Linked DNA regions of Danio rerio. The protein of the gene in region 2 interacts with the protein of the main gene of each other region in a pairwise test. Links are inferred from orthologs where the notes say so. Each region holds a gene or a part of one and is shown on either strand. Other genes may lie near its edges. The genes, in order: cbx5 and suv39h1b.

Evidence for each region.
Region 1: the proteins of suv39h1b (region 2) and cbx5 interact in binary tests that used the Homo sapiens proteins (3 or more experiments, as listed by UniProt). The link is inferred for Danio rerio from reciprocal best matches to the Homo sapiens genes SUV39H1 and CBX5.

Annotation. Positions count from the first base shown.
Region 1 is NC_133198.1:39,406,101-39,408,949, forward strand, and holds part of cbx5 (chromobox protein homolog 5), read right to left. Parts: intron 2,815-2,849; 5' UTR 2,739-2,814; coding exon 2,599-2,738; intron 1,178-2,598; coding exon 946-1,177; intron 752-945; coding exon 651-751; intron 1-650. UniProt on the Homo sapiens protein: Component of heterochromatin that recognizes and binds histone H3 tails methylated at 'Lys-9' (H3K9me), leading to epigenetic repression. In contrast, it is excluded from chromatin when 'Tyr-41' of histone H3 is phosphorylated (H3Y41ph).
Region 2 is NC_133183.1:27,656,299-27,660,689, forward strand, and holds the start of suv39h1b (histone-lysine N-methyltransferase SUV39H1b), read right to left. Parts: upstream 3,042-4,391; 5' UTR 2,632-3,041; coding exon 2,613-2,631; intron 1,104-2,612; coding exon 922-1,103; exon of another isoform or gene 1-921. Other genes in the region: proton-transporting V-type ATPase complex assembly regulator TMEM9 isoform 1 precursor, read left to right, coding at 3,435-3,548, 4,197-4,288. UniProt on the Homo sapiens protein: Histone methyltransferase that specifically trimethylates 'Lys-9' of histone H3 using monomethylated H3 'Lys-9' as substrate. Also weakly methylates histone H1 (in vitro).

The DNA.
Region 1 (2,849 bases), on a different chromosome or scaffold from region 2:
AGGGACATTAGAATAATTTCCAGACATAATGGCAGGTGTAAATGTGGCGATTAACACTATGGTTTCAACCTCCACTTCAGGTGATTCAATCAAAATTGTCCAGCTAAACACAGCCTGCCTTATTTTTATCATTAGCATGTATCTTGAGGTCCCCATGTGCTTGGATCCAAATAAAATCGGAGTACTTAATTTTTAGTCTAAAAGCTGTTTTGAAAAAAAAGAGGCCTTGATTTTAGATTTTAAAGAGACGGCTCATCTAAAAATGAATATCCCAGCATCATTTTACTCAACCTCCACTTTGTCAAAACCTGTTCGAGTTGTTTATTCTTTGTTTTTCTTACTATGGATGCCAATGTTTACCAGTTTTTTTCTTCGAAATATATTTTGTTCTCTCATTCACTTTCTTTCGGCTTAGTCCCTGATTTGTTAGTAGTATCTTAGTAGTATGTTTAACAGAAAAAAACAGAAACTATAAGCATTGCAATCACCCGAGGCTAAGTAAATGGTGAGTAAAATTTGTTGTGTAAACTATCGCTTTAATAAATCTATGGCCAGATTTTGTGACTTGATATTAACTGTTTCCAAGCACTGAGCAAAACAGTTTCACTGAAATAAACAGCTTTTCACATGCAATACTCTGTAGTACTCACCACTTCATAAGGAACATAAGGTCTCCACAGGAGTCTGTTGCTCCAATAATCTTCTCAGGCTCCAGGCCTCGCTCAAACCCTCTCGCTACAAGGATCTCATCCTAAGAAAAACAAAAACAACAATCAAAACCACGTTAAAAATCAATAGTCACCCTTTCCCAATGCCACTTAGGCAAGTATTGATGTGAGAAACAATTGAGAAAGTATTTCAGCACACTGGACGTAATTGATATGGTAATAGCATGCAAATAACTCTAAAGTGTGAGCTCTCTCACACTCTCTGTAAATACTTTACCTCCTTTTTCTTCTTGGGTTTGCTGCTGCTCCCGTTCTCTTCCTCAGAGTTTTTCCTCTTGCTGGTGCTGCTGCTGCCACTGCTGTCTTTGGGACGGGCTGAAGAGGGGCCTGTACTGGAGGACTTGCTGCTTGGTGGGCTTGCACTGTTTCCTTTTTTGTAGGTCTTCATGAACTCAGAGATGAGCTCTGGACAGTCCAGGTTCTTCTCTGGTTCCCATGTGTTGTGTTTCCTGCAAGACAATAAATGCATGATCTATTAAAGCCACTGGATTTCTTCAAATCAAGGGTGCAAACTAATACAGGCTAAACGTTCATGTGAAGTTTTATGTAATATTTTGCCATAATTCTATGATTTCTAAATTCAAGGAAGATGTTCAAACACAAATAAGCAAACCTAACAATTAGATACTGTGACAATAAGCCAATAAAGAGTTATAAAAAAAATAATAATTTGGGCACAAAATCTCTTGACTTTTAATAGGCTACTGACACAAAATGCTGCTTTGGAACATCTTTTTTCATAAACCTGTAACAAACTTTTCACGTTTAATTTTTTATGTTTATTGTTAGGGATGTCCCGATCAGCTTTTTTGCCCTCGAGTCAGTCATTTGATCTTGAGAATCTACCGATACTGAAAACCAATCCGATACTTCTAAAACACAAACAAAAAGAATAAAGAAGAGCTAAGAAACAGATCCAGGATGTTCCTTATACTTTAATTAAATCACCTTATTTTAACAACTCCGTTTGCTATAGCAATGTTGTCGTCATAAAATTTATAATACCTCCAAATCACAGATATACTCACGATTTACGCTGCTTTCATGTTTTACTTTGCTGGCATTTGACCAAATGAAAGTGGTCTAACTCTGTGCCACTGCTATATATATATATATATATATATATATATATATATATATATATATATATATATATATATATATATATATATATATATATATATATATATATATACACACACACACACACACACACACACACACACACACACATATATATATATATATATATATATATATATATATATATATTTATTTATTCGAGTCCTGATCAGAAGTTAACGTCCGATTCTGAAAGCGCACGTCTGGGCCTGAATTTTGGTCATGTGATCGGATCTGGACATCCCTATTTATTGTGACAGTGAATCATTTTTTATGATTTTGAATGTAAATTGCCTTGAATTTTTGCATGTATCTCACACAATGAACATTCACTTTCTGGCTAAGAAACATTTACTATTTTCTTCACTTTATTTTTTGTAGAGTAGCTTTTGCATTCAAATAAGCATTAGTTTTTTCTGCTAAGATATTTAACAAGTTTTACAGTTACACCACTTTTTCTTTGAACAGGTACATTTTTAAATCTGAATATTACAACTGGTCAAAAATATTTGGAAAAAACTAAAAGAAAATGCATTTTATTTTTTCCATGATGCCCCGTCTAACTGCAAGCAAACCCCAGTAAGTAAGCCAGATCATTAGTATTTAAATTAAGAGCATTTTCATTGTATCTGAACTGAGTCTCTTTTCATGCATTTTAAGACATGCTGAAACACATACCAGGGGTCCTGAGACATGAAAACTATCGCTCAGACAGTACTGGATTATGCAAAATGCAATGAGCACTTACTCTGTAAAGCCTTTCCATTTGAGGAAATACTCCACACGCCCCTTCACAACTCTCCTGTCCAAGACCTTCTCCACAACGTACTCTTCCTCATCTGAGGAAGCAGCTTCATCATCTTCACGGTTCTGGCTCTTCTTTCCCATGGCTGATTCTGAAAGTCTTTACTACAAGCAAATTTGACCTGTGTGGCTCCCTGGTCTGGGGAGGAAAGTGGTTGAACTGAAATAAAAAATAATTACATAACTACATATTTG
Region 2 (4,391 bases):
GCAATTACCATATCCTTCAAAAAAAATTGTTTTGTATTTTGAGATATTTTTTATTCAGTGGCAAAAAGAAGCATCCTGTGCTTGGTACAGAATAAAAGCTTGTTCAAATAAACCCCAAGTGCTGTAAGTAAACTCACTTTTAAATTGTGTATGTAATAAGATTTAAGGTTTTATAAATAAGTAAAAAGATCAGCCTTTTAATAGCACTTCTATGTGGTTTTCCATCAAAATAAATGTTCTATAATACGAAAGTTTGCTGTTGTTAAATACAACAATTACTATTATTACAGAATCATCTAGTTTAACAGTATTATCAGTGTTAAGAATAATTACAGTGACATTTGTTTTAGGAATACTTTATTAAATGTTATTTATATTGCAAAATATTAGTTTTAAGCTCTTATTTATTATATATGTTTGCATATAATAAAAGTATATTTTAAAAAAAATTACATTTGTTATTACTAGTATATGAATAGCAGTTCCGAATAGGGCTGGGCCAATAAATGATATTAAATCGAATCGCTCCAATCACAGCAGAAATGTGCAACAACAGAAATCTAGAACTTTGTTGATATTAGACATGCAGCAAATTTTTGCCCACCGACAATTCATCAGCTGAATTTATGTTATGCCATTTAAAGTACCCTCTAATTTTTGTGGCTTCAGTCATTGTTGGGCTACTCTTTTAAATCTGGATGCATTAACAACTTACATAGAAATGTATATCGTTACGGTTCAATATAGAAAACAATTATCAAGACTGCATTTTTGCCATATAGCCCAGCCCTTGTTCCGAATGCCAGTTCCTCCTATTGTAAATCTGAAATCCTTTCTCAATTGTTATGTAGGATAAAAAAAATTGAAACTTGGATTTCAAATAAAACCTAATGCTTTACAAATGTGTTGTTTTCTGCTCACCTGTACTGTTTGCCTCTTCCCATCTGTGATAACTTTTCTTTTGTAGTCACACAAATATTCCACTTCATAATCACACAGGTTGTTCCTGCTGATGCCGAGCTCTTCGCACACCACTCCCTCATCTCGACAGACCACCTCCAGCTGCTCTGTCGTAGCAATGCATGCTACCCTGCAAACTTGAGCTATAAAACATGATTACATGTCAATTTTAGAAAAAAAAAGAGGTAAAAACGTGGGTAAAATCTAGATTACAGATGCGGACACGCACATCAATATAGCTTCATTTTTGTGACACTGTACAAGAATATTTATACAGTACTGTGATGATTGGGTTTAGGGTTGGAGTAGACGTTATAAGATACAATTTATTGGGTAATTTAATAAATTACATGTTTAATACTCAGTACAACTACTGTTTTTACATAAAAGTGATGGTTGGGTTCAGGGTTTGGGTAGGAGTAGATGGTAATAAAATGCAATTAATGGGAAATTATATGAATAATAAATACAATTTTTTTAACTTTTGGCTGCAACCATATCCGATCTAGCAACAACCGTAAAATTGGTGATGACAGATGTGTGCACGCTAGTAAACACGGCTAAGCTGTTGCTAACATACATGTAAACTAAAACTTTGCAGAAAGAAACATGTCAAAATAAATAGCATGTGAAAATAATATTATTGGTTAACATGCATACACACACACACATGACAAAATATAATTTTCTTTAAAAAAAAATTTTATGAAACAACCGTAATCACTACTTTGTACATATTTTGTTATGTTACTTAAACTATTAAGTTGTTTTGAAATAATATTACAAAAATGTATTGTAATGTACTGTGTATTTGTAAATGTATTTAATTAATTAAAAGTGAAATAGTCTTCAAATAATATTATGTAGCTAATAACATGGACTACAAACATTTTCAAGATATTTGATCATAAAACTCTAAAAACCAACAACAAACCAAAGCCAATTAAACCAACTTACAATATTGTCATGTTATCAAAGTAATAGCAACATTAAAACTTCTTATCAAAATATATTGTGAGAATAGACTCCCTAACAAGATAGTGATTATAGTTTCTCGTATAACTTTAATAAAATATATAACGTTAGATCTACAAAAACAATACAAAAGAGTAATGTACAGATCTGCTTCCTTCATGCTTTATGGAATAACGTTACATTAGTAAGTTAATCTTTACAGGGCTGGTCGCGAGCATCTTCGCTAACCAATGGGCCATTTAAACACTTTAACAAAGCTAAACTAAGAGTATTCACAGGCTGAATTGGTATTTTAGTGTATTCATTTGCTTTTAAATATGAATTACTTAGCAAAGGAAAATAAAAACGTTAGCTAAACACCGAAAAGTATGCTAAAACTGCGCATATGCGAGATATGTAACATTGTACAACTTAACAAAACTTCAGAAAACAATCTGGACAGGGGAACAAGCGATTGTCGAAGAGTTTGTTAAACGTGTTTCAGGAGCGCGCGCTGGCCATAACACCGACCTACCGTGAATTTGTATCAGCAACTTGCAGCAAATAATGTTTTAAAACTCGGGGCTTATTTCCGGGTTACCTCCGAGAAAACATGTCGTTTAACCAACTCGGGCTATAGATCAGACTTATATTGAATAAACTGTTGTTTGTGAACGATTAACACGGCATATTCTTACCTTTCAAATTTTCCGCCATCGTCTCACGCCGCCAAAACTATGGAACTAAAGGCTGCTCGGTGGTTGGATGCGCCCCGTCTGAGTGACGGGTTGAGCAACCAATAGTGGCAGAGTATTTAAATCGGGAAGAGTTTATGCAAAATGCCACATTCGTTAAATGTGTGAACTTTGAGGAAAAATAGATCTTAATTTGACTGATTTTACAGGCAGATATGGATAATATTTTGAAGACACTAACGTTAGTTATCTGTGAGATGCTTTCCATTTAACGGTTACCCATTTAATTACTCTAGAATGGTTAATTTTTGGTGTCCAGGCGAGACAAAAAAGTCAATACGATTTTTTGAACTAAGGCTTTAATTTCATAATCTAACATCTAGGAAACAAAAAGGCTGTTTACGTCACTCAAAGTAAAAACGGAGATGTGCTGTAAAGTCTTTTATTTTGCTTTTCGCCGGTTATGAAGGCGGCATAGATCTATCTATGCGAAGGCGGGACATGTAGAGTGTCATCGTCACGTGACAGTGTGACGTAAACATTCATGAACTTCCGGGAAAAGTCAACAAATGCGTTGATGTAAATACTGTCTGTATGTTTGTGCGTTTAGTTTTGCATTTCTGCGTGTAACATTTTATGTATTTGTACCTCCTTATGTAATTTTATTTCCTCTAAAATACGCAATATAGACAGGAGAAGGCCTAAACGGCGAAACCGGTTGTCTGCCAGCCTCTTATTAATGCGGCATAGACCATTTACTAACTGATTATAAGTACATTGTTTACAGTACAACCATCACCTTTAGCTAAACGACAAATAATTTAAATGTATTATTTTACAGGCGTCATGTCCTTCATTGCACAAAGTCTCCGGACACCAGTAATTTTCCTGGCGTTTCTTGTTCTCATAGAAGTGGTGTCGTTTGCTTCTGCAGATAAGGTACAGTTTTACTGGCTTATTTTCACCTGTATTCTTATGTTTTAAAACCTCTATATGTAAATAAACGTGAAAAAAGGCAACATTTCGAATGTTACCAGGTTTTGACATGTTATTAATGCAATTAGCATTTTTCATTCATTTTCCTTCGGCTTAAGTCCCTTATTTATCAGGGGTCCCCACAGCGGAATGAACCGCCAACTTATCCAGTAGATGTTTTACACAGCAGAAGCCCTTCCAGCTGCAACCCAGTACTGGATTAGCACTTAGCATTTTTTTATAACAAAAAAAAACTAAAACTAAATCTTTGGAGTATTAACCTATACAAACTACTCCAGAAAAGAAACCTTAATAGTTTGTCAATAGGTTTACATTTGCACGTTAATCAGCAAAATTGTGTAAAAGATGTCTGAGATATGGAGGAAGGACTTACTGAGGTTGATGATATGATTTAACAAAAGTTTTTTTGACCCCCTATATTTATACTAATGTGCTTTATATACCTATCCTAAAAATAAATAAATGAGCATAACTCTAACATGAATTGTGTATAATTTAAAAAAAGTTCAAATTCCTTGCTAAATACTGTGCCTTTCTTCATTTTAGAGAAATCATTTGTCTCTTTCTGAAAATAATATGTTGCTTTCACAGAGTTTTGAAGATGTGCGTTGCAAGTGCATCTGTCCACCTTACAGAAACATCACTGGACATATATACAAAAAGAATGTGACCCAGAAAGACTGGTAAGACTCTAGACCAGGGGTGCCCAAACTTTTTCTTATGAAGGGCCAAAAACCAAACTTGATTGAGGGTGGTGGGCCGAAGCTAAATATACCAAACTGTATT